Linked DNA regions of Rattus norvegicus. The protein of the gene in region 1 interacts with the protein of each later gene in a pairwise test. Links are inferred from orthologs where the notes say so. Each region holds a gene or a part of one and is shown in the gene's direction. Other genes may lie near its edges. The genes, in order: Lsmem2 and Lsmem1.

Region 1 (16,253 bases):
ATCTACATAGGTGTGGCACCTGCCTTGCTCCTAGACGTTTATAAATATGTACACGTGCTCATGTACACAGATATAGTTCCTGTATGTGTGTTCACAAAGGGACCCTCAGGAATATATTCATATCTGTAGTCACCCACAACCTTGGATTCAGTCCCAAAAGTACCCCTGCCTTTCCCTGCCAGCCTGTGGGTACACAGCCGTCTCCAGAGGCCTCCACCCCTCCTCCCACTCTCCCTTCAGCAACTGCTTTGCTCTTTGCCCTTGGTGCCCTCTGAAATGACCACAGGCTCTGACTCCGTTGGCCCTTTACTGCCTGGGACCTTGTCTACATCATCAGTATCCTTGTCTCTGCCCCATGCTGGCATGAAGTGGGTGCATAGTGTTTGTGAATTAATGTCTGTGAGTGTGTGCGCAGAGGGGAGGTTACAGAGGAGGGTGACGTGGTGGGGCGGGTGCCTGCCAGTGCAGGGTGACCCTGAGGGTGTGCCCGGTGTGGGTGTGTCTCTGATTGTGGCCAGGCGGGGCACCCTTGGTGGAGAGGAAAACGGTATGCGACCCCCCAGCCTCTATCCCTAGGGGCTGTAATCTGATCCCTTGGGACTCCCCCATGCCCTCCCACCCGCCCTTACCCTCTCTGCTTTGCTGCCGACTCTTCTCTTCCAGATCCCGGGGCAGAGTCCAGGGCTGCCGAAGGCTCCTCCACACGCCTGCTGAACCCTGAGCGCCCTGTGCTGCCGGCATGGGGCGGGCTGAGGCCGCCGCCATGATCCCAGGCCTGGCCCTTCTCTGGGTAGCAGGGCTGGGGGATGCTGCCCCTAACCTTCCCCGCCTTCGGCTCTCCTTTCAAGGTAGGTGCACCTGGCAGATGGAGGGGCCGGCTTGAACAGGAAAAGGGCCCAGGATGGAAAGACTCGCTGGTGCCAGTATGCGTACCCTCATTACTTGTTGGATTTCGGGTATTCTTGGGCCATCTCCAGTTAACCCTGTCCTAGCCTCAGCCCCCCACCTCTCTGCCTACATTCTGCTCATGCTTTCCCAAGGAGGACCCCTACTGTCTCCATAGCAACAGTCCCTGCCTTCGTCTCATCCCCCCCATCCCAAAGCAATCCATGACTCTTTAGTAGTTAAGTCCAGGTTTGGGGGCTGTCAGAGAGTCCTTTTCTTAAACTCCTTGCCCACCGGGCATGGAGTGGCATTTGCTGGTCAACTCTGCTAAATCCAAGCTAGTGATAAGGTGACAGGGAAGGGACCCTCAGCGTGACATTTTAGGGATGGATTCTGTCCTGTCAGTTCATCTTTCCTTTGCCTTTCCTAGGACCCTGGTGTCCACAAGCCTGGCCTTCCCGCATACCAGCTCACTTGTCTACACACGTTTTCCTAAACCTGTTTTCCCCTTTCTGGGGCATGCACGGCCCACCCTGAGACTCTATACATGCACCTGGGTGGGCCAGTCTTCATACGTGTAAGCTCACATCCACATCAGTGTCCATGTGTACATCTTGGGTCACACCTTGGTCTGCAGATAGACAACCAGGCAGGGCCTTGAGGAAGTTTCTGTCACGTACTGAGAGGTATCTCTCCCTGCAGAACTACAGGCCCAGCATGGCATCCGAACCTTCAGGCTGGAGCGGACCTGCTGTTATGAAGCCTTGCTGGTGGATGAGGAGCGGGGGCGCCTGTTTGTGGGTGCTGAGAACCACGTGGCTTCCCTCAGCCTGGACAACATCAGCAAGCGAGCCAAGAAGGTGCCAGGGACCCCTAACCTTACTCAACTTCAGCGCCACCTCAGGAAAAAGCCTGAGGGTCCCAATCCAGATTGTCCAGACTCTAGAGAATCTCAAAGGGGTGGGCAAGTGAATGGAGAAACTCACAAAGTAAAGAGCACCCTGAGTCCCTAACCTGTGTTCCCTCCCCACAGCTGGCCTGGCCCGCCCCTGTGGAATGGCGTGAAGAATGCAACTGGGCAGGGAAGGACATTGGTGTGAGTGTGGGCTACTCAAAGGGGAGCGTGCGGAAGAGGGTTGGGCCCCCATCCCGGTGCTGAGAGAGAGGCTAGCCTGTTATGGCTGGGGTAAGGGCAGAGAGGTCAAGGCTGATGAGAGGGTGAGTCAGGGTGGGAGTTCATGTGATTCTTCTCGGGGGGGGGGGCCTCTGAGTCATGGGGGGCGGTGTGTGCATATGTGTACTTGCACGTGTAGTCACCCTGTGAAGGTAGGTTGTTACGAAGGCCAGTCAGGTCCCTGTAACCTGTGTTAGTAGTTCCCTGGGCCAATGCAGAAGAGAGGAAGGGCAGGGGTGCCCCTAGTGAATTGCTCAGGCTGCCTCCTTGGAGAAAGCCTGAGTGCACCCCCACCTGCCCACCAGACGGAGTGCATGAACTTCGTGAAGCTGTTGCATGCCTACAACCACACCCACCTGCTGGCCTGCGGCACAGGGGCCTTCCACCCCACCTGTGCATTTGTGGAGGTGGGCCACCGGCTGGAGGTAAGACCAGGACGGAGGAGAGGCAGGAAGGGTGACAGACAACTTGGTATTAACAACTGCCCTACCCCCAGGAACCCATGCTCCGCCTGGACCTGAGGAAGCTCGAGGATGGCAAGGGAAAGAGTCCATATGACCCAAGGCACCGGGCTGCCTCGGTGCTGGTGGGTGAGTCCAAAGGCTCACACCTAATAGAACTCTTTAGAAGTTCTAGAACTTCATGTGTCCCAAGGGCACCCCCTCAGATGCCCTATAGCCATGACCCCCCAAGCACCATCCCCCCCCCGCCCCCAAGAGCGCCCTACACACTTTTACTCTGAGAGCTCATAGCTGGCTGAGCAACCCTTTGCCCTGTCTGCAGGGGAAGAGCTGTATTCCGGGGTGGCGGCGGACCTTATGGGCCGGGACTTTACCATCTTTCGAAGCTTGGGTCAGAATCCGAGTCTCCGAACAGAGCCCCATGATTCCCGCTGGCTCAATGGTGAGATGCTGGTGGGGCCCCTGGGAGGAGACTGCCCTCCTCCGATAGGGAAGGTGAGATGAGAAAATGAGAAAGCAAGAGAGCACTGTTGAAGTCTCTCCGAGTATCTGTTATTATACCTGAGACAGGCACAGAGGCAGAGGCAGGCAAGAGTCTGAGTCCGTGGGTCTCAGAGAAAGCACACGATGAGATACATTCCTGTGGCCATGAAAGATGAAAGAACAGAAAAAGAAAAGGGGAGGGGAGGGGCTGGAGAGATGGCTCAATGGTTAAGGGCACTGACTGCTCCTCTAGAAGTCCTGAGTTCAAATCCCAGCAACCACATGGTGGCTCACAACCATCTGTAATGAGATCTGATGCCCTCTTCTGGTGTGTCTGAAGACAGTGATAGTGTACTTATATAAAATAAATAAATAGATCTTTAAAAATAAGGGTGAAAGAACAGAAAGGGGAAAAAGGTGTCTGGGTTGAATAAGGAAAGCTATTTTTTTAAGGAGCTGTGAGTTATTAGTAGCTTCCAGAACACAAGAAACCCAGCCAAAGAATTGGATGAGCATCTAGGTAAGGGAAACGATTAGTGCAAAGACCCTGAGACAAGAGCCAGCAATGATAAGGCTCAAACAACCAGTATTGATAGGAAACCCAGACTCTCAAGGTCTGGAGTCCTTTACTATGTGACAGACAGCAGGAGGAACTGAAGCAGGAACAGGGAGTATTTGATCTGCCAGGGAGGAAGATTTGTGAATGAAGGTGAAAACAGATACCCAATCTCCCTCTTCTCCTGGCAAATTAAGGAAAAGTGTGGCATGGTCAGAACTCCTGCAGAGGGGAGAGGGGGCAGCCCACTTGCGCTCGAAGCTGTGGTCTCTACTGCCCCCTCGTGGCAGTTTCTTGCTTTGCAGATGCTGATCGTAATGGGGGGGGTGCGGGGTGTGTGTGCGGGGGTGGGGGTGTGTCCTTGTCGAGGAGGACCAGGAACAAGACCCGCTGATACCGTGCCGTCTGTTTTGGCTAGAACCCAAGTTTGTCAAGGTCTTTTGGATCCCAGAGAGCGAGAACCCTGATGACGATAAAATCTATTTCTTCTTCCGTGAGTCCGCAGTGGAAGCGGCACCAGCAATGGGGCGCATGACTGTGTCTCGTGTTGGTCAGATCTGCCGGGTAAGGAGACATTGGGCCAATTCATCCCTTGGCTACCTTTGCCCCTGACCCTTTGCCTGCTATGGTCTTGTTCTCATCCCTTCTGATCCTGTGAGCAGAATGACCTGGGTGGCCAGCGGAGCTTGGTCAACAAGTGGACCACATTTCTGAAGGCGCGGCTTGTATGCTCAGTACCTGGAGTTGAGGGTGACACCCACTTTGACCAACTTCGTGAGTGTCTTGAATGACGGGCGACATCAGGGGAGGAGTCAGGGTGCAGAGTCCAGGAGCCTGAGGTGTATGTGTATGGCCCCACCACCTCCCTTGTCTTTCTCTGCAGAGGATGTTTTCCTTTTGTCCTCCCGAGACCGCCAGACACCTTTTCTCTATGCTGTCTTCTCCACCTCCAGGTGAGGGGCAGGTAGCAGTTCCCTTGGGCAGTCAGTTGAGCCTGCTGGGGTTGCTCACTTCGCTGTCCTTGTTGCCTCCAGTGGCATCTTCCAGGGCTCTGCTGTGTGCGTGTACAGCATGAACGACGTGCGCCGAGCCTTCTTGGGACCTTTTGCTCACAAAGAGGGGCCTACACATCAGTGGGTGTCCTACCAGGGTCGGGTACCCTACCCAAGACCTGGCATGGTACGTTGCTAGGGACTGCCTGCAGTAAGCAAGTCTCAAGGGTAGAGAACTTGACTTGGCCTGGGGGTTTTGGCAGGGGTAGTGATGGTGTTGTGTGATTTCTTTCTTTTGGTATGGGTTGGGGGAAATGCCGCCATCATAGAAGGCTGTGCCCCCTCAGCCTAAGGCTCACCAGGGAAAGGCTCAGATACTCAGCCCCTTTGTCGAGTCCCACCTTTCACATTCCCAGAGGCTTTGAATGGAGGACTGATGACAAAAAGCCCTGTATCTCTGTCTGACGTGCCTTGCCTTCTCTAGTGCCCCAGCAAGACCTTTGGCACCTTCAGCTCCACCAAGGACTTCCCAGATGATGTTATCCAGTTTGCTCGGAACCACCCCCTCATGTACAACTCAGTCCTGCCCATGGGGGGGCGCCCTCTCTTCCTACAAGTGGGAGCTGGGTACACCTTCACCCAGATCGCTGCAGACCGGGTAGCAGCAGCCGATGGACACTACGATGTGCTCTTCATCGGCACAGGTCAGGGTCCCACCACAGTGCCCACAGGACTGAGAGCCCCTCCAGGTTCCTTGGCCCAGAGTAGAAGTTGTTCTTGGTCAATCTAATATCTACATCTTTGTCTGAGCTGTGGCCCCGCTTTCTGAGGTCTCCCCTCATTGTTTCAACCCATAACTGTTACTTTTTCATGACCCAATCATGATGAAGGTAGAGGGCACAGGGCTAGAGCACATGTGCATGCACTCACACACACATGCATGCACACACACACACACACACACACACGCACACACACATGCACACACGCACACGCACATATACACACATGGCTCGTTAGGGAAACCCAATAGTCACTCTTTCCTTTCTTTTCTTCAGATGTGGGCACGGTGCTGAAAGTCATCTCAGTCCCCAAGGGCAGCCGACCTAACTCGGAAGGACTTCTCCTGGAAGAGCTGCAGGTGTTTGAGGTGAGGCCTCAACCCTAGTCACCCTAGGACACATCACCTGAAGCCATTAAGCCCTGATCCATTTGCCCTGCTTCCCTTCCAGGACTCTGCTGCTATCACCAGCATGCAAATCTCCTCGAAAAGGGTGAGTAACTCAACTTGGGGAGGAACTGAATTTGTCCCACAGCACCTGAGTTGTCTTGTTTCTCTTCGGTTTTCAAAGCCCAGAGTTTCAGGTCTAGCTTCTTTTTGCTAGACAATGAGACCTCAGTGTTCCCACATGTCCAATGGGGGGAAATGGCTATTTGACTGAAGGGAGCCAGGTAAGGGATGTCCTCAATCAGACTGGAGACTCTTGTGCCCTTTAGCACCAGCTCTACATAGCATCACCCAGCGCAGTGGCCCAGATTGCTTTACATCGCTGCCCTGCCCTAGGCCGCGCCTGCGCAGAATGCTGCTTGGCCCGTGACCCCTACTGCGCCTGGGATGGATCAGCCTGCACACGCTTCCAGCCTACTGCCAAGAGGTGGGTCTGGAGGCTGGATTGGCTTGGAGTCTGGATTGCGCTACTGGGAGGGAGTCTCTGCTGCCAGCAGAGAAGGGCTCATATAGGTTTTAATGCCTCCCTCAGGCGGTTCCGGAGGCAAGACATAAGGAATGGCAACCCCAGCACCCTGTGCTCTGGGGGTGAGTACCCCATCAGCTCCTACCCCCAGGCCTTGAAATTGCTACATCTAGTCCTGCCTTGTCTGAATTTTTACATTTTTGTCTCAAGACCCCTCTCACTCTGTGCTGCTGGAGAGGAAGGTCTTAGGTGTGGAGAGGGGCAGCGCGTTTCTGGAGTGTGAGCCCCGCTCGCTCCAGGCGCATGTGGAATGGACCTTCCATCGTGCAGGGGAGGCAGCTCACACCCAGGTGTGCCTCACTCCACCCTTCCTAACCAGGCCCATTTAAGAGAAGCCATCCCCTGCCTAAGGAGGCCTTTGACCTGTACCTCTTACCTATGTGAAATCCCATTCGGTGAGGCCCTGTTCAGATACCCTTATCATAGGTCTCATCCTATTCTGTCCTTAGTTGCACTCTACAACCTAGTGACGCCTCACTGTGCCCAACTAGACTCCTGACCCACCCTCTACTATCTGGAGAGAGAAGGCCCCACGCATTGACGTTTCTAATCTACCCCATGCCCCACTCAAGTGATCCCTCTCACCTAGATCGACTCATCCTCTAAAGGCTACCTATTCCTGTGCTCATACCCTTTAAAATGAGTAAGTGCCAGCACCTATTTTCTTTGTCCACCTTTGGCTTCCAATGACCCTTTGTTTCTGTTCCTGCATTCACACATAGGTGCTGGCTGAGGAGCGGGTAGAGCGCACTGCACGGGGGCTGCTGTTGCGGGGGCTGCGGCGCCAGGACTCTGGCGTGTATCTGTGCGTCGCGGTTGAACAAGGCTTTTCACAACCACTGCGTCGCCTGGTGCTGCACGTGCTGAGTGCGGCACAGGCTGAACGACTGGCGAGGGCAGAGGAGGCAGCAGTTCCCGCACCACCAGGTCCTAAACTCTGGTACCGGGACTTCCTGCAGCTGGTGGAGCCAGGCGGTGGTGGAGGTGCAAACTCCCTGCGAATGTGCCGCCCGCAGCCCGGGCCCCACTCTGTGGCAGCAGATTCACGTCGTAAGGGTCGCAACAGGCGGATGCATGTCTCTGAGCTGCGTGCTGAACGTGGACCACGTAGCGCAGCTCACTGGTGACTCGGCTGTCCCCATACTGGGGACCAGGCTGGATATGACACACCGAAGAGGGGGCAGATAGATGCCAGGAAGACAGATGAGTTGTGGCTGGGGCACACTGAGATCGTTGGGCCAACGGAGACAACTAACCCATACATGAACCCTGGCCCAAGTGTAGCTTATTTATTAACAAGATAACCCGTGAATGTATTCCTGGAAGAGTGGCCCAAGCTCAATTCAGGATCTAACCTGGAGGGAGGGGACAAGAAGTGGGGCTCCAGAGTGGAGCGGAACCAGAGAGATGTCTTGGGTGGCAGCCCTGGGGAAAGCATTCTCTTTCTTGGGCATCGAGGAGAAAGCTGTGAACAGATTAGGCTGTCCAGTGTGGGGTGAGGCAGGCCAACTGTACTAAAGTAATACAATAAACACATTATCAGCTGATGTTGGAATGGCCCCAGCAGATAGCAGCTAGTCCTAGACCTTGCTGGGGGTCTCGGACATTGTCCTAGCGGTCTCAAGGCCTGTACTTTTCCCATCCAAGAAGGCTGTAGTGGAGATTAAAAGTGTTAGTAGATGATTACGCTGGTTCTAATGAGCCTCTGGGGCTCAGTGCATTAGCAGCAGGGCCAAGCTCTCTGAAGTAAAAACAAACAAACAAAACAAACAAACAAACAAACAATACTGGATGTTGTGGGCAAGAATGTATTAAGAATTCACTGAGTGGGTGATGTTTGAGCTGAAAGGAGCCAGTCACAGATGTCCAGTGACAGAACATTCCAGACTAGAAGGACCAAAGTCTTGGAGCGGGGGACAAACCCTCTCTGTCTGAGGAACACCAAGGAGGCTGATATGGTATCACACTATGGATTCCGAATGGTTTGGAAGGTAGACCTGCCATGGTCTTGCTTTGCACAGCTGTGAAGAAGCAGAACAGAGTTCACTCACAGACTAAGGCTGCAAGCTGGAACGGCACCCTTCAAGAGTGAGCAACAGGCCTCCACATGGCCTTATGGAGAGGAGACAAGAGCCAAGACCGTTATGTCTAACTCTTAAGCCATTCCTCTGCATTTGTATTCTCAGTACGGTTGGCCAGGAACCCTTGTTCCTATTCTATAGGTAGAAAAGTAAAGGCCACTCTTTTTCCCCATGGTTATAGTTTAATACTAGAAATAGCAGTTTCTAATCCCGGTCTGACCACTGTATGGGTGCCCTTGTAGAGCTGCCAGACCCTTGGCATTGGGCTCCAGTTGCACCCAGTCCACCACCCCCAGTATCTGGTACTAGATGGTCACACAGTGGTGGGTGGTTGTCTCCAATTGCTGGGAGGAGATGGCTAGTCTGTGGGTAAAGGGTCTGAGAGAGAGGGATGGCTGAGCGGACCTGTGCAGGGTTCCTTTGCTACCATGCTGCATGGTGCGTGCTGAGCATTGGGATGAAGGCTCCCAAGTCTGGGTGTGTATAAAGTTGGTGTGGTTTTCCGAGAAGTTCCTTCTGTCCATGTGCTAGCAGAGGCTTGCCCTTGGCTGAGCCCCATCACTAAGTAGGTAGTTTAGGCCGGCCCATCCAGGTCACTCTGCCCCTTTTCATGGTTCAGAGCTGCCCTCTCTAAATATAGTTCAGGGAAAGTGAGCTCAGGCCTATTTCAAGACCAGGTTGGGAGGCAGCCAGGCCTCTCCTAGAATCTGAAAGAAGCCACTGCTGCCTTTGTCCAGTTCTGCTACTGGGCACTCTCATTGGGCCTCTGACTACCTACCAACTGCCATGCCTGAGGAGATCCAAGAAGGTAGGAGAGGGTGGCCACTGGGGAGGACAGGGCTCAAGTCCTATGGGTCAAGGAGAGACCTAGCTTCATGGGGAGAACCCTCAGTCTTTTCTTACCTCAGCCCTAGGGACCTACCCTATGTACGGAGAAAGAATACCTAAGGCTCCTCCACTTAAGGTCCTGGCTCAGGGAGGGGCTCAAAGCTCTCCACTTAGGAACAGGTCAGCTGTAGGCTGTGCCCAAGCAAGTGTGGGCATCTAGGGGGCTCCTAAGCAGCCCTTTCTAGAAGAAGCCAGGATTGGGATGAAGACTGGTTCCAGGGAACATTTGGACACCTGGCCCAGGGGACTATGAGGTAGAGAGGCTGTCCTACACCTCTCAGCCTGGTCAAGGCTGACACTTAGCTAGTCAAGTGCCTTTACCTGCTGAGCCATCCTGTCCCCCCTCAATATTTTATGCTGCAGAGAAAGGGCCTGCTCTCTACTAAGGGAAGGTGTTTATCTTTTTGGGGGGAGACGGGGAGACTTAACTGTAACACCTACCATGTGTCTTTTTCTGTAGCGAATAAAACATGTCCAAATATAAGTTATGGGAGAAGCACAGTGAGGAGCCAAGAGGAGGTTTAATGTGGCTTGGAGTCTACTGCCGGGGCTTAAGGACTGACAGCCTCGGGTTTTTTGTTTGAATTGCTTGTGAGCCTGGCAAGGGGCAGCTTCAAGCATGTCATAAAGGGCTGAGTTACTGTCCTGAGATGGGAGGGCCCAGAGGACCAACAGCCAGCCTTACCCAGTTCTCTGCTACACTGTTACCTAGGTTCCTGGCAGGCATCTGGAGCTCTTGTGGAGTGGAGACAAAACAAAACAAAGTAACAAACATCCAATAAAAGACCTTGGGGGGTTGGGGATTTTGCTCAGTGGTAGAGTGCTTGCCTAGGAAGCACAAGGCCCTGGGTTCGGTCCCCAGCTCCGAAAAAAAGAACCAAAAAAAAAAAAAAAAAAAAAAAAGACCTTGGTGGTACACACTCAGGAGGTACAGGCAAGCAGATCTCTGTGAGTTCAAGGCCAGCCTGGTCTATATTCTGAATTCTAGGCGGCCAGGTCTACATAGTCCCTGTTTTGAAAATTAATTAAGCAAACAAACACACCAGCAGAAAGTATAGTTATAGTTATTTAGAAATCACAACTATTTTGGTAGTAGTTGGAATGCTGAGGCAGAGGGATCACATGAATTAACCAGGTACTCAATACCAGTCTGGAAACTTGCTGAGACTGTCTTAAACAGGGGAGGGGGCGGGAGGAGGACGAGATGGCTCAGTAATTAAAAACACTTGCTGTAACCAGGAGATCTGAGTTCAGATCCCAGTACCAGGCGACAAGCTGGGTGTGGTCTTGTGTGCCTTAGAACCCCAGTGCTGTGTGTATTGGGACAGGAAGATAGGAAGGTCACTGGAGCTTGCTGGTTGCTGCCCTTGTCAAAAACAAACAAACAAACAAACCCCCCTGATTTCTGGACTTGGGAAGAGTCCCGTCTCAAGGAATAAGGTGGAGAGTAAGAGATGGGGCAGCTGCAAGCGTCTAAATGGGAGCGAGCATTCACCACGCACATGTCGCTAACACATAACAAAGCTGGGTAGAGAGAGAGAGAGACGCGCACATTTAATACCAGTAATAGGCTGAGGCGAGAGAATTTCGACTTTAAGCCTATCCTAGCTTAGGCAATGAGTTCTGGGACAGCACAGTGAGTCACTATCTCAAAACAAAACCAAATCTGAAATATAACCGCAAGGGAACCGTGGCCAGTGACCACATAGGCAGAACCTGTGAATGGTAATTACACCCGTGGTCAGCCTCCCCAGGCAGCAATCAAGGCAAGCTGTTTCTCATCTTAAATTAGCAAATACAGGTAAAGGTATGTGCATACAGGGTCTGGGGATGGTTCTGTAAAAGATTTGTCTAGCAGGTATGAAGACCTGAGTTCATTTCTCCGGGGACATGATGTGTGTGAGGCTGCCCCATGACATGCTCAGAAGCAAGACAAAAATCAGATGCTGTCTGTCAGTCTTTAAGTCTGGGAGGTAGACTGCAGATCACGGGGTATACACTTCTGATCCCAGGTCTGGTGAGGTTAAGAGTTCCTGGGGCTCCATAGTGAGCCTAGGCTGTTTGTTGAGCTCCCGAGCCAGGTCAGCAAGACCTCTGGCTTCTGTGCAGGCACAATGCACACAAACACACTTTTCCCCACAGTGGGATGCCTAATGGTGCGATGTTGTACTGCTGGGCTCTGGACAGGCCTTTTAGAAGACAGTTTTGATGATAGCTTCAAAGAGAACTCTCTGTTCTTGGGTCCAGTGATTTCAACTTCTGAGAAATGCCCTCAGTAACTTTCAGGAAAGTGGGGAAAACCTTCTTATTTAATGATGGATGTCCTGGGGGTTAATTCCACAGAGAATTGGAAACTACCTAAAATGCCCAGATAGCCTCAGAGGGAAGCCATGGGGAGGAGGCCTCAAAGTTGCATGAAACTGTGGAGAGAGAGTGGACTCCTGCCATGCTGTTGAGTGCAAAACAGCAGGACTCCAACCTTCCTGGAAGAGAGGCAGAACCACTGTCCAGGAAGGCAGAACAGAGGCCAGGAGGAATACGCAGGCAAGGCAAAGCGGGGGAAATGCCCAAATGTGGCCATTGGGAGCCTGTCAAGAGACCCTGTGCACGGAGCCCTGGACCCAAACTAAGAGTCATTCCTGAAACTGTAGGGAATTTGGAACCAAATGCCACAGGTGCAGTCCTCATATCCCAAGTCCCTACAGCCCCAGTTTGCCTACAAAGTAAGGACTCTTTGCTCCAATTGTTCCACTGCCCCTGTAGATACTGTGTTGCCAATGCAGAACCAGAGGCACAGGCCAACACTGGCTCCTAACCACGTGCAGGAGGTGCATCTGCATCGAGTGGAGTCCATCAGTGACCTGCACAGTGGAGGTAAGGGCGTTCGGGGAGGGAGCAAGATGGATGCTTTGGGTGCCACTTTCCAACGAATCGCTCTCCCTGCAGGCTCACTACGGCCCTGTCTGGCTGAAGAGGCGCAGGCCTGGGAGGAGCTTCTGGGTGTCTTACCACCGTCACTGTGCACCCAAGCTGCTTGCAGCCCCATGTGTGGCCGTGGGGGGTTCCTTCTGCTATTGGCACTGCTAGTGTTCACCTGCCTGGCACTAGCCATCGTAGCTGTCTACCTAAGTGGTAGGGACAGGCAGAACTGGGACCCCAGGGCAACTGGAAATGAAGCAACAAAGGGTGGGGCATGGGTCAGTGGGCAACCCCATTGCAGGGCCATGTGGGGATCTGAGGAGGCATGGAGTCTAACAAGGTCCCACAAATGTCTTCCCACCCCCAGTGCTGCAGAGTGAATCCCTGAGGGTGTTGGCACACACGCTGCGCACACAAGAGGAGACTCTGCTCAAATTGCGTCTGGCTAGCCTCAGCCAGCTAAGAAGGCTCAACTCCAGTGAGGCTCGGGCACCCAGCTGAGATACCATCTGTATGTGAGACTGTGATGGGGGACAAAGGGACTTCTGGCAGGTCTCTGTTCTCCCACTGATGGCCTCATCTGCACTATTCCTTGGGGAGATTTCTTCACAAGCCTGACGTTCCTCCACAGCTGCCTGTCTCTCTTGACCGCTTCAGGCCAGGCCTGAGCAAAGCTCTTGGTGCCAAGGCCCTGCTGTGGTTAGCCAAAGGTCAGAGGATGGAGCACCAGTCTTTTCCTGGTCCCCCGTCAGCACCCTCTGGTCACCCCCAGATAGGAAGTTCAGAAGTCTAGAAATAGCTGTCCCAGCTCAGCCACCCACTCTGCCAGGCCTCCTAGCAGGGGGTCCAGCCTCAGCTCAGGCAAGCCAGGCTGAGTTGGGGAACTACATGTCCTGCCATGGAGGACAAAGGTGAGGTAGAGCTAGTCGGGGCCAACCTGGGGTGGCAGACGGAGGGAGGGCAGGCACAAGACTCAGGAGAGAGAGGGGTTGGGGATTTAGCTCAGTGGTAGAGCACTTGCCTAGCAAGCGCAAGGCCCTGGGTTCGGTCCCCAGCTCCGAAAAAAAAGAAAAGAAAAAAACAAAAAAAAAAAAAAAAAAAGACTCAGGAGAGAGGCCACAGGGGGCTAGGTGTTGCTTAATCTCTTATCTTTAATAAATCAGCACACGCATCCATTCTAGGCAGCTTTGCCTACCCTAATGCCACAGTGGCCAGGTGCCAGACCTGAAAGGAAGCACCCAGGGGGCAAGGTCTAAAAGACACAAGGGACAGCCCTTTCTCACCCTCACCACGAGGACCAGCACACATTTGGTTTCACCTGAGACAGGACAGGAAGAGGCCTCAGCCACATGGCTGAGTGCACGTACAAAGGGCTTGAGTCGTAAGTGTCCTGATCCCTCGACCCTCCCACATTTGTCTATTTTTGGTTTCATTATTAAAAAAATAAAGTGACAATTACTGGCAGGGACCAGTTCTTGCACTGTCTTCTGTTAAAAATATGGTAGGGGTATGGGTAGCCTTCTCGTTGGCCAATCTACTTCACAAGATATCCGCCCGCTTGTCCCTTGCACGACTCCGGGCCTTGGTCCGGGCTTTGAAGGCCGCAGCATTGTACAGGTGCTGTCGAAGAGGCAAAGAAGGGAGCACGGTGAACCCAGGAAGCCTACTCACAGCTCCAGACCTCCGGGTAACAGAAGGCAAGATAAAGGTGCCCAAGATGCAAACCTTTTCAAAACGTGAAATCTTGCAGGCCTTCAGGGCAGCAGCATCCAGCACCAGCACAGGGCCCAGGCCGAAGATGTCACGGAGAAGTTCATTATTCTAAAAACAAGGCAGTTAGCTACGGCCAGTCTGAAGCGGTCAGGCTGGGTGGCCCTCCCTGTGTCCCCTCACCTGGAGGTGATAGTGCATGCCGGAGCCCAACACATCTTTGAAGGCTGTGTAGATGCGGTGGCGAGCCCAGCTGTCTATGTAGAGCACTTCCAGTCCAAAGCGGATTGTTTCCTCCTCACATTCACCGCCCTAGAGAATAGAGGGCCCTACTGGGATTGGCTGCCATGCCTGGTGCCTGTGTGTGTGTGTGTGTGTGTGTGTGTGTGTGTGTGTTGAGACAGGGTCTATGTAGCCCTAGCTGTCCTGGAATTTACCACCATGCCTCTGTCTCCTAAGTGCTGGGATTACAGGTGCCTAACCCTCGGGGACATATTTTTATGGGACACTCATGTTCTCACACACACCTCAACAAAGTGCAGCACGGCTCGGAAAATGGAGCGCTGGCGTCGACGGTCAATCTTGGCACGGTACTTATTGCTGTCGGTGGCGAGAGTCCGCAGAGATCCACACAGAGCCTCCATGTCCTCATAGATGAAGTCCTCCTGTGTGGGAACGATGGAGGCACTGGGTGGAAGTTTCTCTTTTGGAACTGAGCGAGGTGTTCCCCAAGGCTTTTCTTCCACTCGCTTCTCTCCTCTTCTCTGCCTAGCCCCTCCTCAGCCTCTCCCTAGCAGTTCACCCCTACACAGAATCCCCACTACAGTAACTAGCATGTGAGTAAGAGTTAGGGTCACCTCCCCTGCAAATGACCCAAGACTGCTGTTATATCCCCACCCCCACCCCACCCCGCGGCATGCGTTGCAAACAGCCTGGGATGGTCGGCAGTGCCAGCCGGCTCCTTCTCCTGTCCCTCGCACCTCGAGATCCCGGGCAAGCTCGAAGAGCAGGGCGATGGCTTCACCAGCAGCAATCCGCAGGTTCACACTTTCACTGGACAGGAGCTGGGGCAGCCGGGGCAGCTGCCTACAGACAGGGAAAGCTAAGCGTCATGAATGGACTGAGGGTCCCTTCCCAAATTCCCTTTCGCTCCCAGGAGGCAGCAGCCCCTACCTGTCAAGGATGTGGTTGATGTGGGTACTAGGGCAGATGGTGAGCAGCAATGCCCAGGCCTGCAGGGCGGCACAGAGCAGGCCATGTAGGCTGGCAGGAACCAGAGAAGCAGCAGAGCCGCCGGTGCCACAGGACCAGCTGAAAACACCTTCCAAGCAGGCCAAGCAAGAGACCAGGTCCTAGGAGGACAGGGAGACAGGCGTGGCTCACAGACAGAGCTACGGAGCTAAGCTGCACCACCACTTGTGTTCAAAGTCCACTTACCTGGACATCGGTGGCAGCCACATAGCAGCCCAAGCCAAGAGCAGAAGCACACTGTTGGAAAGAGGACAAAGCTAGGCCACCGTGGGTCAACACCGGGAACATCGTATTGAGTAGAGAATCTGAAGACAGAGAACCCGACACCCTGCTCGGGGATGAGGGACCAGCGGCGGGGCACGGAAATACTCACATGGAGCCGGGCAGTGGGGCTTGCTGTACTGTCACTGAGCACCGAGATTAGCAGGGGCTGCAGGCTATGGAACAGCTCCTCGCCCTTGGGTCCAGGGCCCAACTGCACACAGAGCAGGCCTAGTACAGCAGCGGCCAGGGCCTGTTCTTCACCCTTCCCTACAGGATGCTTTGCAGTTAGCGCATGCAGCAAGCGTCAACACCTGCCTAGCTAGGGTTCCCCAAGTGCCCAGGACTTGACCTTTCTTAAGGCACTTTTCCAGGGCGTCGGCCAGAGTGAGGCTGCGCTCCAGCAAAAAGTCTGGAAGTAGGCGGGAGGCCAGGGCCACGCGCAGGCTCTCCAGAGCTCCTTGCCGGGTCTTGGCGCTGGGAGGTGAAAAAGGGTTCGTGTGGGTGACGGGAGCCCTTGGTTCCATTTGTCACCGGCTGAACGGGGCCCCAAGTGTAGGAGTTGGCCAGCAGCCAGGGGTACCTCTTGTCAGTCAGGCAGTCCACATAGTCCTTCAGCTTTTCCTCCAGGTTTTCCTGCTGGCTCTGTTCGTCCACAGCTTCCCCACCTGCAAAGCCAGTCGGTCATCACTGGATCCTGCCCTTGTCCAGTGGAGCCGTCCTCGAGCCCCTGCCAAACTTCAACCTGCTCTCACCCAGGCAGTCTTCTGCGGCGGTGCTGAGAAGGCTGGGACATTCACTGGTGGTGCTCCGGGCCTCGCTGGCCGCGTCGTCCTCA
Region 2 (16,253 bases), on another chromosome or scaffold:
TCCTTTTTAAGATAACAAATTTGAAGTGTGGTTTGGTTTTTATTGAGGTAAGATGTATCCAAATTTTCATGCACTTTATTATAGGATGATGTGTACCTATTAACCTCTCTAGTTCCTTTGTGGTTTTTATATTTTCCCCCTAATTTGTTTTTCTGTTTATAAGAATATCTTGTCTTATTGATCCATATATATTTTCTTTTTTATTTCAGCATTTATATAACTCTGCAGCTTTCAAAGCTCGAACAAAAGCCCGAAGCAAATGCCGAGATAAGAGAGCAGATGTTGGAGAATTCTTCTAGATGTCTGACTTTGATGTCTGTTTTCTAATTTCTTCCTTTATTATTATTTTTGCTACTTCTAATGTATATAAGCTTTTAGAGACTTTTTTTATCTTGGTCAACTTAGATAATTTTTGATGTAGGGATGGGTTATATTTTAATTTAATGTACAGTGTTACAAATTAATGAGTTCTTTATTCTGTAAAAATAACTGATAACCACAAATAAAAGTGTTTGTGATGCTTGGTCATATTCTATGTAGTGAGCAGATGGTATTTCACAATAAGGTTTACTTGTTTACACTAATCAGAAGTATTGACAGATTATGATACACACATGGCGCTTGTAGTTTTGGGGAATGGGTTCAGTGGAAGGTTGATGTTTTGATTTTTATCAGTCAGTTCATCAAAGGCATTATTCCATGCTGCGGTCGAGCCCTGTGTTCAGTCAGGTGTTGGGAATTGATGCTAATTAGCTATGCCAGAAAGGCTGCCAAGTTTCACCCTCACGAGCCAAGAGTAGGACGTGCTATGTGCTTTTTCACCTTTAATTTTGGCAGTGCATAAAACAACCATTAATCTCCACATATCTTCAATGAGTGCAGTTCAGGGTACATGAACTCTTGTTTTCATGATGCAGACGGTGGGGCTAGGAAACATGACACTTGGGTTGTTTTTTTCCCCCAAGTTACTGTTTAGTATTCCCAACAAACTGGAATGTTTGGCTAGGGGGACGTCTGTTTGCCTTGTTTGTGGCTTTCAGTTCCAGCCCTCAGATAGAGCACATTGGGGAACACACTGCAGCCTACAGTTGGCTTTGTTACCTTCGTTTCATGTAGGCTAACACTGGAAACATTGCCCTTGTATTTTCAGTTTTGAGTATGTATTTGTTAAATGTGTCCACCTACGAGTGCTAACTTCTCAGGAACCCTCTATCTTTCTCTGGAAATGGATCCTGTTTCAACCTCTCCATAACTGAGTGGCCAGGTTGATATGTGGTTTCTGAGTATCAAAATCAATACTTGCACTTTCCAGAAAAGCATTTTACCCCTAGCTTTGTGTATATGTTTTAATGAGTTTTTATCACAGTTTACCTCAAGGCTTCTAAAGCCCTCTTTTCTCTTCCATCAGTCCCTTTTTTGGGTGTTTCCTGCCTACCATTCACATTTCTGTTTATACACTGATAGCAATTTCTTGGTTTACTATTTTTAAGGCATTGTTTAACTTAACAGGTGAAGAGATCACACGTCAGTTTATTTGGGGGAAACGTTTGCTGTAAAGTGGTATTTACTTGGACTTTTATACACATACACTAGATGCTTGCCACCAATTCTTTCCTAACTAAAGAAATTTCTAAAATTTGGTTCTTTATGTATCAGTTCAGTATAAATTAGTTTCACCCAAGTGTACAACTGTTTTTCTTGAAACGTTGAGGTTATCCTTTGGATTTATTTTCAAATCCAAGTTCACACCTCTTGTCTTAGGTGACATACCTGTAGTTCCATAGGAATGAATACAGAAAGGGTCAGTTGTTTTAAGGTCTTAACTGAAAGATTGATTTTTCTTTTTAAAGGCTTGTTTGTTTATGTGAGTACACGATAGCTGTCTTCAGACACACCAGAAGAGGGCATCAGATCCCATTACAGATGGTTGTGAGCCTCCATGTGGTTGCTAGGAATTGAACTCAGGACCTCTGGAAGTGTAGTCAGTGCTCTTAATCACTGAGCCTTCTCTCCAGCCCAAAAGTTTGGTTTGCAAATTTCTGTGTAGAACATTGTCTTAGGGTTCTCTAGAGTCATAGAACTTTTGGGTAGTCTCTAAATAGTAAGAGAATTGGTTGATGACTTACAGTCTGTAGACCAACTCCCCAACAGTGATCAGTAGCTGTGAATGGAAGTCCAAGGATCTAGTGGTTGCTCAGTCCCACAAGGCAAACAGGCAGGCAAAAGGAGAAACTTCCTTCTTCCAGTGTCCTTATGTAAATCTCCAGCAGAAGGTGTGTCCCAGATTAAAGTTGTGTGCCACAGTGCCTGGGTCTGGGACTTGCTTTGTCCCAGGTGATCAGAGATCGCCTTGCCTTAATCTCCTGGGATTCATAGCCAATTTGCCTCAAGATCCAGGTTAGAAACTTGTATCTCCCAGCCTCAAGCTCAGGATCAAAGGTGAGCCTTCCAATTCTGGATTGTAGTTCATTCCAGATAGAGTCAAGTTGACAGCCCAGGAATAGCCACTACAATCCACCCCTTGTCAACTTGACACTAATATCTCATGTCCACATGAAACGATAACAAGGTCATGAATACACCTAACATGAAATAACTTCCTCGTACAATCACAAGTGCATTTGTAAATTTACAATGGCACAATGTCCCTTGGGAACACTCTTTTAGTATCAAAGCTTAAATACCAGTTGATATTAAATTGGGAGAAAGACAAACATGCTCTTAACAAAACAGAAGAAGCATTCATATTTATAATCCTCATTTCTGCAACTGGTTATGTGACTTAGCTGGTATTTATAACTACCTTCCTCTACTACCCAGTCTGTACTTCCTCTGCCTTCTGCAAGCCCCTCAGCAGGTCTTGGCTCTTTTCCTGGAGGAGTGGCCCATACCTTCATTCCTGATGAGTCTGTGTTGTGTCCTTTGCCGTCCTGCTTGCATTAGGCTGTTGTAGTTTCCCACTGACTTTAATCACAGGACATGGTAGTACCAAGAGACGCCCTAAGGAATCTCCTGCACTCTGGACAATCCTTCTTACCTCCATTGTGGAGAGGCAATCCAACTTCCCCATGGTAATCTGGATCTATCACCCCCTCCTAACACTGCTTTCTTAGCCTGTTGGTTTAAGGGCATTAGAAGTCTAAAATGATCAGGGGAAGTCTGAGCTTGCAGTTCAATGGAATGTTTGTTTCGGCTCCTAGTAGGAACACTCCCCTGTCTGGAATCAAAACTTCTAGGCCAGCAGAACCTAGAGTTGTAGGGACAGGGAGCAAAAATTTTCCTAGAGGGTCACTAGGAGTGATAGTGAGTGGAACTATTTCCTTTTCCACCCCTTGATTCCTGGACCCATGAATTCTGGCTGTGGGAGAAACTGGACCATATATCAGACACTGGTTCAAAGCATATACTGCCTTCTGAAGAACTTTTCCCCAGCCCTCCATGCTGCTCCCACCTAATTGGCGCCGTAAATGCGTCTTCAAAAGGCCATTCTATCTTTCTATCAGACCACCTGCTTTGGGATGATGGGGAACATGGTAAAACCAGTGGATTCCATGATCATGGGCCCACTGTCACACTTCTCTAGCTGTGAAATGAGTTCCTAGGTCAGAAGCAATACTGTGTGGAATACCATGACGATAGATAAGGCATTATTCTGTTAAGTCCATGGATGGTGGTTTTGGCCAAAGTATTACGTGCAGGAAAGGCAAATCCATAACCAGAATAAGTATCTACTCCAGTAAGAACAAAACGTTCTTTCCACAGAGGAAGTGGTTCAATGTAGTCAACCTGCCACCAGGTTGCTGGCTGGTCACCTCGAGGAATGGTGCCAAATCTGGGACTCAGTGTTGGTCTCTGCTGTTGGCAGATCTGGCATTCAGCAGCAGCTGTAGTCAGGTCAACCTTGGTGATTGGAAGTCCCTGTTGTTGACCCCAAGCATAACCTCCATCTCGGCCACCATGGCCACTTTATTCATGTGTCCATTGAGCAATGACAGGGATAGCTGGGGAAAGAGGCTGACTGTCCACAAAATGGGACATTTTATCCACTTGATTATAGAACTCCTTCCTCCTCAGCTGAAGTCACCTTTTGATGAAGATTTACACGGGACACAAATATCTTCACATCCTTTGCCCATTTGGAGAGATTTATCCACATCTTTCTCAGATGTCTTTCTTACCAATTTTCCAACCATGATCTTTCCAAGTCCCTGACCATCCAGCCAATCCATTGGCTACAGCCTATGAGTCAGTGAACAATTGTACGTCTGGCCATTTCTTCGTCCAAACAAACTGTAATACCGTGTGTACTGCCTTAAGTTCTGCCCACTGTGAAGATTTTCCTTCACCTGTGTCTTTCAGGGTTGTCCCAGAAAGGGGTTGTAAAGCTGCAGCTGTCCACTTCTGGTAGTGCTGGCGTAAGGTGCAGAGCCGTCAGTAAACCAGGTCCTACTCTTCTGTTCTTCAGTCAGCCGATCATAGGGAACACCCCATGAGGTTATAGGCGCATGCTTGGCAGCAGATGGCATTATAACAGGAGTAGTGACCATAGGCATTTGAGCAACTTCTTCATGTAACTTACTTGTGCCTTCAGGACCTGCTTAGGCCTGATCATGTATCAGTTCCATTTGATAATAGACTGCTGCTGTGCATGCCCTACTTTAACTGGAGGACCACAATGTTTCTTGGGGTCTCCTGGGATTAGTGTCAATTTAGAAACAGTATCCAATAGACCCCAGAAAGTCTGATTATTTCCCTTTCCAGTGTACAGTTACCCTTGTAAAAGGCCGTAGGTCCCTCTGGGGGGGAACTGGAGAAAGGCTAACAGCAAAACTTTCAGATGTCTTAATCAAGATCCTTCCTCCGGGGAACCTGGCCACCCCTTCATTCAAGAAGTTCTGGGTCTGCAAACTGGCTCAAGTCTGGAAACTGATTCACTGGCTGAGATTGCCTTTTGCCATGATCCAATGTAGCCTTTCTTTCATTGGTTTGAGAATTTTTCTGCTTACACAGATCAAACAAATAAGCAGTAGACTTTTATCAATTTCATGCCTGGAGACACCATGACTGATTAGCCAGTACCAAAGGTCCAAACAAGTCATGCCATTATAAATTTCACCTTTCCTGTGCTGGCCATTACGGGCTATGTCATAAACATTTTGTCTACGATGTCCATTATAATAACCTCGATCACCTTGTCTCTGGTGATTCAATGCTGCCACCTAGCCCTTGTTACCTCAGGGCCCAATTAAACCCATTGCATTTAATTCATCCAGTTGAGCAGCAGCATCTCCAACCCTAAGGTCTGGCACAAGGAAAAGGGCAAGAACAGATCCATTCAAGTGTGCTGATGCTCCTCTCACCAGTTTGCATCTTATAGAATTCGTGAAGGGTATATATCTTCTGGGCCTTCCCACTGTGGAGGACTAGGTTTTACACAATGTATCCACTCTAGCATTGCAATTTCCCTGAGCCTTAAAATCCCTTGGTCAACACTAAGCCAAGGGATAAGGCATCTCCATCTCCTTTTCAGTGGACCATTGTTTGACAAATGCTTCAGTTTGATTTAGTCCATACTTAACTCTTTTTTTAAAAAAAGATTTATTTATTTTATTTATATGAGTACACTGTAGCTGTTTTCAGACACACCAGAAGAGGGCATCGGATCGCATTACAGATGGTTGTGAGCCACCATGTGGTTGCTGGGTATTGAACTCAGGACCTCTGGAAGGGCAGTCAGTGTTCCTAACCACTGAACCATCTCTCCAGCCCCTATACTTAACTCTTATGTCCTAGCTCTGAGCCTAATTCTGCATCATTAGTGGGTTGCAGAATTAGTGCCTGCAAATCCAGGCACCTCAGTTTCCCATCACATTTATTGAACTCTGGTATTTATTCCTATTTTCATCTTGTGGCATATTCCTATGCTTTTTTTTTTTTTTTAAACTAGGGTTTGAGGGATGAGAAATAAGAGCACTTAACCCATGCTTGAGTCTACAAAGATGGGAACCTTAAGAAACCATTGAGTAGGGCTGGAGAGATGGCTCAGCGGTTAAGAGCACTGACTGCTCTTTCAGAGGTCATGAGTTCAATTCCCAGCAACCACATGGTGGCTCACAACCATCTGTAATGAGATCTGGTGCCCTCTTCTGGCCTGCAGTCACATATGCAGGCAGAATGCTGTACATAAAATAAATAAATAAATCTTAAAAAAAAAAAAAAAGAAACCATTGAGTAACTTCTGCTGGTAAAGATTGCTGAGAACCTGGTGTTTAAGAATTGAGTTGAAGGTAGTGAAGGGCTCTGTGGTTGGCCAGCCAGCCAACCACTGATTCTCAGCCAGATTGCTGTGGCACAAGAATTAATTTTGAAGCAGTCAACAACAGGTGACTCAACTCTGTGAAGGCATTTATTGGCTTTCCTGGGAATTGACTGAATAACATGAGGGACATTTGAAAGGAAGTGCAAAGACCCACGATAGACAATTTCTGTTTCTACTGATTCAAAATTTAAAGCACCTTCAGATACTGAGAGAGCTGTCATATCTTACTCAAGTCATTGTCTAGGAGTTCAACTAAAGCCAGGCCCCTTCAGACAGGTGTGATGGGATAGATGTGTGGAGTTGTTTCATCTCTGCCACTTTATCCTCTGGCCTTGGAGTACTTAGGCTGTTTCCCAGTTCTGGAGGACTAGTACTTGAAGATTATAAAGTTGGGAAGGAGAAAACAGTGATCAAAACTGAAGCAAGAGCCTTATTTATAATAGCCGGAAGCTGGAAAGAACCCAGATGCCCTTCAACAGAGGAATGGATACAGAAAATGTGGCACATCTACACAATGGAATATTACTCAGCTATCAAAAACAATGACTTTATGAAATTCATAGGCAAATGGATGGAACTGAAAAATATCCTGAGTGAGGTAACCCAATCACAGAAAAACACACATGGTATGCACTCATTGATAAGTGGCTATTAGTCCAAATGCTTGAATTACCCTAGATGCACAGAACACATGAAACTCAAGAAGGATGACCAAAATGCAAATGCTTCACTCCTTCTTTAAAAGGGGAACAAGAATACCCTTGGCAGGGAATAGGGAGGCAAAGTTTAGAACAGAGGCAGAAGGAACACCCATTCAGAGCCTGCCCCACATGTGGCCCATACATATGCAGCCACCAAACTAGATAAGATGGATGAAGCAAAGAAGTGCAGGCTGACAGGAACCAGATGTAGATCTCTCCTGAGAGACACAGCCAGAATACAGCAAATACAGAGGCGAATGCCAGCAGCAAACCACTGAACTGAGAACAGGACCCCCGTTGAAGGAATCAGAGAAAGGGCTGAAAGAGCTTGAAAGGCCTTGAGACCCCATATGAACAACAATGCTAACCGACCAGAGCTTCCAGGGACTAAGCCACTACCTAAAGACTATACATGGACTGACCCTGGACTCTGACCTCATGGGTAGCAATGAATATCCTAGTAAGATCACCAGTGGAAGGGGAAGCCCTGGGTCCTGCTAAGACTGAACCCCCAGTGAACGTGATTGTTGGGGGGAGGATGGTAATGGGGGGTGGATTGGGAGGGGAAGCCCATATAGAAGGGGAGGGGGAGGGGTTGGGGGATGTTGGCCCAGAAACCGGGAAGAGGAATAACAATCGAAATGTAAATAAGAAATACTCAAGTTAATAAAGATAAAAAAAAAAAAAAGAAGAGATAATTTTGGAAAGAATGCTGAAGTGTGCAATCTTTGCACTCACAAACACTTTTTGTAGCTAATTGAAGGCCCAGGAGTCCCCGGGCCTGCTGCTATAGTTTACGTCTCTAAAGTCTCCCTAAAGAAAGGTGTAGAAGGCTTTCTTGGTCACCAGCCTAGAACCAGTGGAAGATGGTAGACCGTTAGGTGTGAGGCTTGTTTGAAGACAAGTCATCGACCTTTTCTTTCCATCGCTTCTTGGCTTCATGAGACCAAGCCTCCTCTTTCAGCTGTAGCCACTACCATGTTTTCTATTGCTTCAAGCCTAGGCCAGAGGTCTAAAATGGTGGGCTAGTATAAACCTTTACTCTCTATAAAGCTGACCTGTTTTGGATACTTTGATACAGGAATGGAAATGGAACACACCAGCCATTCTGCTAGTTGTATTATCACAACTATCCTCGCTGTTTACTGAGATCTTTGCTTGGTCTGGAGTCCCTGCACACCAGCTGTCCCCGTGGTAGCTCCTGCCTCCTGCGGGGTATTTATACCCAGGAGCACACCCCTGCAGAAGTGCTAGGAATGTGTTGTCAGCTGATACAGCCACGTCCACTGAATAAGGACTTCTAGCTTAATAAGAACCACAACAGTTACCAACCGAAATCAAGGCTTGCTGGTTTGTTGTTTTAAAGCCAAGTTTCAGCGATGCATATCTAAAACTCTTAGACATTATAGGGGAAGCCAGTGCAGGGAATCTTGCAGCTCTTGACTAAATTTACACTAAATATAGACTACCAATTATGTGCTGGGTTTATGGGCCTCAGGGGAGCACTCGTGAGCAGCAGGGAGATCAAGAACACACTACAGAATTGGTAGAAAGTTTTGCTGTTGTTGTTCCTGAATAGTTGTCGTTTCCGGATAACTGAGCAGTCCAGGATCACGTCTTCGTAAGTAATTCGCATGCTATTCCTTACTGAGGCAGAATGTTGATTCTTGAGTCATCGGGACTTTCATTGCCTGTGTTCGGTGCTTTTCAACTGCTGACTGCAAAGATGTAGACTTGATTTTAAAAATTACCTCCCCACTGAAGCATGAACTTAGGAATGCTGCTCATAAATGGCCATGACTCACTCAGGGAGGTGTCTCATTAAGCTTTGAATTCAGCCTTCACTGGTAAACAAGTTTGAGTTGGTAACATACAGTATGGTGTGGGTTATTCTGGGGGTGGGGGCGGTGTGGAACGAGTTTTTTCAGGGACAATTTGTTGAAGTGTAGAAAAATCAAGCAATTATTAAATGATAAACGCTCAGCTGTTAGCAGTGATCGGGAGCACGGGGAAATGAAGCTACTTACGTGTCTCAGTTCCAGGATCAGAAATGGTTCCATCCAAAGGATGCTGCCTTGGCCGTTTGGGAACAGGCTGATCTACACAGTGGAGTTGGGCAGGAAGGCCGAGCTAGGCGGACACGGAATGGCTAGTGACACTCTTCACGGGCCTTGGTGGTTGTTCCCGGATGGCCTCATTTCAGCTGCCAAAGATAGCAACCGCTGGTGTCAACAGCAGTGGGTTCTGGTTTTCAAGACGTGTCCTTGTGTCCATTTCCTGGCAGAGTCCCTGGCAAGCCACCTGCAGGTTCTCGGGGGCCATGGGGGCCCCTGTTTTTTTCTCTCTACTAGTTTGTCTTTCATTTTAACATGTTGCAATATTGAAAAGGTTTATTGAAAAAACATCCACGGTGTGAGCTCACTGTAAACATGTTTTTCAGAGCACTCCATTGTTTACTTGTTTTATCTTAGATTTAGGAAAAATCTTGAACAAATTTTACTACGGATTTTATTCTAATTACGTGGGTGGGAGGGGCATGTTCACGCTACAACGCTTGTGTGGAGGTCAGAGGAAAAGTTGCAGGAGTCGGTTCTCATTGAACAGAAAGTGAAGGAGATTAAGTTCAGTCTTCCAGGCTTAGTGCCATGTCTCCGTCCCTTAGATTTCCTGGCATCACCTTCTTAGTCTGCGGCAAGAAAAGTTTATTAACTGGACTACTACTTTGAAAGCAGGACTTTTTTCAATTTTTTTTCTTTTTTTTCTTTTTTTTATTAACTTGAGTATTTCTTATATACATTTCGAGTGTTATTCCCTTTCCCGGTTTCCAGGCAAACATCCCCCTCCCCCCTCCCCTTCCTTATGGGTGTTCCCCTCCCAACCCTCCCCCCATTGCCGCCCCCCCCCACAGTCTAGTTCACTGGGGGTTCAGTCTTAGCAGGACCCAGGGCTTCCCCTTCCACTGGTGCTCTTACTAGGATATTCATTGCTACCTATGAGGTCAGGAAAGCAGGACTTTTTAGCAATGACTTTTGTAGCTAGTTTTCTACTTTGTAACTAGTTCTCTCCTTTCCTCTCCTCTCCCGGCTCCTCCTCTCCCCTCCTCTTCCCTTCCCTCCTCTCCCCTCCCCTCCCTTCCTCTCCCCTCCCCTCCCTTCTCTGCAACACTAGTGACATTCCTGAGGGGGAAACGGATATTAAGTCAGATTCAGAAATGAACTGTCTCAGTTACCACGCCCAAAATAGAAGCTGTGTTTGCAACAGTGATCCTACCACGTGACACATACAGCTTTCTTTCCCTGGTCACCCCCGTACAAAACAACAATAGTGTTTGGGATAATGAAGTACAAGGGGGTGATGAAACAGAAAGCACTTCTGGAAGAGTGCTTTAGAGCCCAGTGTCTAGGTGTCCGACAGCACTTTGAGAGCGTGGCTTATCTTCCAAGGGGTATGGTTTGCTCGCTAAGACCCTTTCCCTCACAGCTGCTGCTGGTGTTGTTTTTAAACTGTATCATGTCAAGTCATTCTCTTCGGACTGCTCCATGCAGCATATTTGAAATTCAATAATTTCAATATTTAAAGTGTTTTATAGTAATAACTCCATCCATGCGTTCTTTCCAATTAAAATTTCAGGATAATGAAAACACACAGTTTGGATTTATGAAGAAAAAAAAAACCCAGTGCATGATTTTCTGATCTTACAGTGTTTCTCAGCTAGGAATCTATGAATATGTTTAACACAAGTGCCACTAAATTTGTGGGTGCTACTTAGAAACCCTCCACCCCTCCACCCCTCCGCCGAGCATGCGCAGTAGGCGCTCTCAGAGGCTTGAGGAGGAGGTCGGATTCCTTGGAACTGGAGTTAAAGGTGGTTGTGAGCGCCTGACGTGAGTGCTAGAAACCAACCAAATTCAAGGCCTCTAATAGAGCATCAGGCTTTCCTAATGGCTGAGCCATGTCTCTAGCCGTGAGGCTTTTGGTTGATAGTATAGTTTAAGGAGTTCAGGAAGGATGTGATGCTTTCCCCCAGATTTTCTATGGTTAGATTAGTAGTCTTCTCCATTTGGTTTCTTCGAACTCTATGGTTGGGTCTTAAGAGAAATCTCTTCAGAGAATGGTTATCAGGAACAAATCTGTGGCCACCTATATAGACAGGCCCATTTACTGCTGCCTCCTCTTTCTGAGGATTATTTCAATTAAGTATCCTTGTGTCTAAGTGTGTGCATGTGAGTGCGGGTGCCTAAAAAGGCCAGAAGAAGGAGTTGGAGCCCCCAGAGCTGGAGTTACAGATGGTTATAAGCCACCAGACACAGGTGCCCCTACCTTGTCTTTCTAAAATTTTAGCCTTTTAGACACCAGACTTCATATCACCACTGACTCACCTTATGAAGAGAAAAAGAACTTCCTTAGTCATTAAATATATGTCTTGGAAGCCTTTTTACATCTTTCAATGATCCAGAATTTCTTAGTATGTTAGAGTGTGTGTGTGTGTGTGTGTGTGTGTGTGTGTGTGTGTGTGGTGTGTCTGTGTGAAATTAGGAAATTAGAAGGACTCATAGTTAAATATTTGTCTGTTTTACGGTCATTTTGTTGACTAGCTTGTGTTTTTGTACAGAGGACTTGAAGCATATTAAACTAGCAACCATGGGGAGAAAACATTTTGAGAGGCAATTATGAAACAAAATACAGACCCAGAGGAAAGAAGATAGAAGTGGACAAGCGGAGGAGGAGAGAAGAGGGTTACAGGGTATGAGTGGCTGTGTCCTAACCACACACTTGATTCAGGCAAGCAGAGGCAAAGGAATAGCCAGCATTGTCCAACACAGCGTGTCTCTCCTCTAGCCCAGCATTTGTGGATGGGCTATGGTAACTCATGAGCCTATCCAGCTTCTTCCCGTTCTGGCTTACGCAGCTCCCAGCCCAGCCTCTTCTTCCTAATGTTGGTGCTTTCTTCCAGGCACAATGACTCATTCCTCTCAGGATGCTGGATCTCATGACGTCCATGAAGAAGGAAAACTCTATGTCGTGGATTCCATAAACGACTTAAACAAACTCAATCTCTGTCCGACGGAATCACAGCATCTATTCTGTATGTGTGAACCTGGAAGCATGGCTTTGGGACTTTCTAAAAACATCAAGGGCGCACTGGAAATGTTGTTTCTCATTTAGCAGTTTTGATTTTGGGCCCCCAATCTGTCAAAGCATCACTGACTTTCTCAGCAAGGGCTGAACTCATCACAATTCCTGTGAGAAGCTAGGCATAGTGGTTCGTCCTATTCTTGGAGCACGAGGCAGGAGGATCGTAAGTGTAAGGCCAGCCTGGGCTAGCGTAGGTAGTTCCTGGTAGCCTGCCTGTATAGGAAGACCCTGCTCCATGTCCTGTTTTTCCCCTTTAAAACTTTTGAGGAAGAAGCTATGGTGTTTTCTTACTGGGTACAGGTATTGCTCAGTCCCTCTCGGCTGTTGGGCCTCTGTGTGAGCACGGTTAGTTAGGTTTATATAATCTCTGCATCCCAGGGGTGTTGTTTTTATCAGAGATTACTGAGGAAAATGCTCAACACATTCATCGATTTATTTTCAAAATCATTAAAATTCTGTTGTGCAAAAAGTCAACTCCCTTCTCTACTTATCAATTACAAATTGTCCAATTAAGTACTGGAAGAGACACGAGAGCAAACCTAAAACCTCCAAAATACACAGTGTGTCTGGCTCTCTAAGCGCTAGAAACCAGGCCTTTTGGGCCCTCTGGACCCCATCTTTTCTAGCTTAACTGACGACTATTCAAACACAGGCACGGATGGGCTATTTGCCACTTCCTTCATGAACACTCTACACTTACCGTCCGGTTCTATAGCTGCTATTTCCATTCTTGTCTCTTCAGGGTTCTTCCTTTTGTCATTGTTCAGATCCTGGCCTGTTTTTAGTATGGGGGTGTGTGGTGTCAGCTGTGGTGTGGCGTGGGTTAGGAAACAGCAGCTGTTGACAGGCCGGAACATGGGATGCACTTGGTTAGATAATCACGCAGCATAACCTGTGGGGACAATTCAGGGAGGAGCAGAATATGTGTATTGGCGCTTGCTATACCCCAGGGGTTTCCGCCTCTTATTCAAGGCTACCTGTGTGTTTTTAGGCACCTGAGGATTACAAAGCACCTGGTGAGAGACAATTCCCGGCCCAAAGCATTGAGAAGAGCCTGACTTCTAGAGCAGATCTATCTTGGAAATAGCTTCAAGAAACCAAATACCCCAGGGGCTCTTTTGTCAATGGATATAGACCTAAGAGGTTATTCTGATAATAAAAGCAGCTTCCTGGGATACACCACACAGCTTTTGCTCGTCCACTCAGGGAAGGCATCACACCTAGCTCTGTTTAAGTTACCTAGGAGATGGCCAGTACAGCCTCATCCATTTTCTATTCCTCCTCCAAAGAATAATTCGTGCCCTTCTACTCCACAGCAAACAGTTTTCAAATAATCTTCCCAACAGGTTCAAGGTCATAGCTCAAGCCTACTCATTTTTTGAATCCCAACAGAGAAGGTAAACAGCCCCAAAATTGCCCATCCAAAGACATTCCTAATGCAGACGTCACTTTCAGGGAAAATGGAAATGGGTGTGTTCATCACATCTCTGTGAGATGCTGAGATTGTGTCACTTTGTTTCCCATCAGCTTTAGAGGAGAAAATCCCAAACACTGGCACAACTCCCAGAAATGGAAGGCAGGGTATGTTTTTTGTGGGGCTGCTCCTGGTGTTGATGGTCAGCCTGGCTCTGGTCTTCTTCTCCATCTTCCTAATAAGTAAGTACTTAATAAGTCTGTCTCTAATTGTGTGTGCATCCTTTATAGCTGTCGCTTCTGGAGTTAGCGCAGTCTAGCCATCAGAATTTCCAGAAGAAGCCAGTGGGAGACCCAGTGTCTTAAGGGCAGTTCATTGCTCCTGGACTGGGTCCTTGGCTACAAGTCCAGGGCATGCTCCCGCAGTACCAGGTTACATTTATGTTAAATATTTATGTAAGCTTTTAATTTGTCACCCGGAGCCTCTGCTACCAAATTATATGCAATGTGTCCTACTTAATTTTAGTTTTCTTTATTCAACACATAAATATCTTCATCACATTTAGATATATAACACACAGTTTCCTGAGGTTTTAACACCCCCTCATCTTTCCTCATTTGCATATCTCCCAGAGGTCTGTTTGGAGTAGCAAGGGCTCACACTAATGGCTAGTGCAAACTGGGGTTTTGAGGGTGGGTTACTTCTGCCCTGTTTGATGCCAGCTAGCTTTGGCCCTGTCTACTCTTGGCCTGGGCAATACATGTCACCCTTAATTGATGACACAGAGGTTTTCCCATACCTGCTCCTCAGACTAGAGACCCCTAAGCTGATCATGTCACTGTTCTGTCTGGATATCAGAAGAGGAACTATCTACCTGAAGTGTGATGTGTGTGTGTTTGTATTCTTCTCCATCAGAGCTACCACAGTTCTCTCTTAGATGACTATTTTTTTTTACTATTATCAGTAATTATTGCTATATTCTTTCATACTACAGAATGCTACCCGGAGCCGGGGATAGGGAGGGTGTTATCTTTGACACCATTTTGAGTCTTCCGTCTTGTCGTTTCTTCTGACTTTTCATGCTTTTGGCATCTGACAAGTTTTCTCTTTTTGAAGCAGGATCTTAATACACAGGTCAGGCTAGCCTTGGCTAGCCTTGACTTTGAGATCCTCTTGTCCCAGCCTCCTGAGTTCTGGGAGTATAGGCATGTGTCACCACTCCCGTCTTGCCTTCAGCAGTTCTAAATAAGAAATGTAACCGCACGTCTTCCCAGTGTTTCTTACTTAAGTTCATTTAGGAGTAGAGGAGGTGGTGGTGTTGACGATAATATGACCCCTTTGGGTGTTTGAGGTGAGCTTGTGAGAAGGGATAGTGTATGACCTTACCCGTGAGACATGAAAGAAAATGTCTATTCATCTTGGCCAGACAAATCAAAAGAAATGACTATATTCAAACCCAGCTTGGTGAACCAAGGGATTTATTGGGATTGTTTATATGCATTAAAGGTATATGAGTAACTTTTCTGTTGCTGTGATAAAAACACACAGCAAAGGGCAACTTAAAGAGAGGAGAGTTTGCCCATGATGCTGGGGAGGCATGGCGGCAAGCAACACGCGTGGTGGCAGGAGCAGGAAGCTGAGAGACAAGTCTTTCACCACAGACATCAGCACCTATCCCCAGCAATGCAACTCCTCTGATAAGGCTCCATCCTCTCAGCCTTTCCAAACGATGCCGCCAATGTGAGCCAAGCACAAGTGCCTCAAAGGCAGTTTGCATCACCAGGATGCAGACTTTAACTTTTACAGATGGGAGGGCACAACGTGAGTGCTGGGAATGGAACTCTGGTCATCTGAAAGAGCAGCGAGTGTATCTCTCAAGCCCTGTCTTCTCCTCCTCCTCTTCCTCCTCCTCTTCCCCCTCCTCCTCTTCCCCCTCCTCCTCTCCCCCTCCTCCTCTCCCCCTCCTCCTCTCCCCCTCCTCCTCCTCGTTCTCCTCAAGGGTTTCTCTGTGTAGCTGTGGCTGTCCTGGAACTCCATCTGTAGACCAGACTGGCCTTGAACTCGCAGAGATCCACCTGCTTCTGCCTCCTGAGTGCTGGGATGAAAGCTGTGCACTGCTGCCCGGTATTTTCTTCTTCTTCTCTTTCTTCTTTACATCTCTTCAGTGATGTTCTATGTGCCTTGGAGGGGGTAAAAAGGCATTTTGCTCACAGCTCCCCGGGAGAAGCCACAGAACAAAGAATGACGTTTGATAGCTTCTTTTCCTCCAAGATTCTGTCCCATTCCGCTTAGAGGCAGTAGGTGAATTATCTTTGCAGCAAATGCCAACTTGTAGCTAGCCGTCAACGTGGGAGGGTCAGCCACCTACCTAACCCACAGTTGGGAAAGAGATCTAGGTTCTGATTCTGAAATGTTGACATGTTAGCGGAGAATAAATGAATGACCTGCCTGTTACCCTGCCAGGCCTAACTTCAGGTAATGACCCAGTGAAACTAGCACGATAGTTTAGATTGCCTATGGATAACTGAGCAATCTGAGGTAGCCCTCTCTTCTGTAGGATACAGGGAAAGATAAGAGAAATGACAATAGCAAGTGTCACATGTGAGGTGTGTAGTCCTAGGCTGTCTGCCAGAAACCTTCCAAAAACTGTGTAGTATAGGATCTAAAAAGTTTTTTTAAATAT

What was found.
Region 2: the proteins of Lsmem2 (region 1) and Lsmem1 interact in binary tests that used the Homo sapiens proteins (3 or more experiments, as listed by UniProt). The two-hybrid records come from large-scale screens. The link is inferred for Rattus norvegicus from reciprocal best matches to the Homo sapiens genes LSMEM2 and LSMEM1.

What each region holds. Positions count from the first base shown.
Region 1 is NC_086026.1:117,141,906-117,158,158, reverse strand, and holds Lsmem2 (leucine-rich single-pass membrane protein 2), read left to right. Parts: upstream 1-8,858; 5' UTR 8,859-9,172; coding exon of another isoform or gene 9,173-9,194; intron 9,195-11,617; 5' UTR 11,618-11,720; coding exon 11,721-11,949; intron 11,950-12,037; coding exon 12,038-12,148; intron 12,149-12,220; coding exon 12,221-12,406; intron 12,407-12,560; coding exon 12,561-12,694; 3' UTR 12,695-13,661; downstream 13,662-16,253. Other genes in the region: Sema3b (semaphorin-3B precursor), read left to right, coding at 740-848, 1,588-1,745, 1,919-1,981, 2,365-2,484, 2,556-2,649, 2,843-2,962, 3,978-4,123, 4,222-4,333 and 9 more; Ifrd2 (interferon-related developmental regulator 2), read right to left, coding at 13,733-13,813, 13,919-14,014, 14,087-14,215, 14,431-14,568, 14,884-14,989, 15,077-15,255, 15,341-15,391, 15,528-15,685 and 3 more.
Region 2 is NC_086024.1:62,980,837-62,997,089, reverse strand, and holds the start of Lsmem1 (leucine-rich single-pass membrane protein 1), read left to right. Parts: upstream 1-8,339; 5' UTR 8,340-8,641; intron 8,642-11,974; 5' UTR 11,975-11,979; coding exon 11,980-12,106; intron 12,107-13,683; coding exon 13,684-13,812; intron 13,813-16,253. Other genes in the region: Ifrd1 (interferon-related developmental regulator 1), read left to right, coding at 210-299.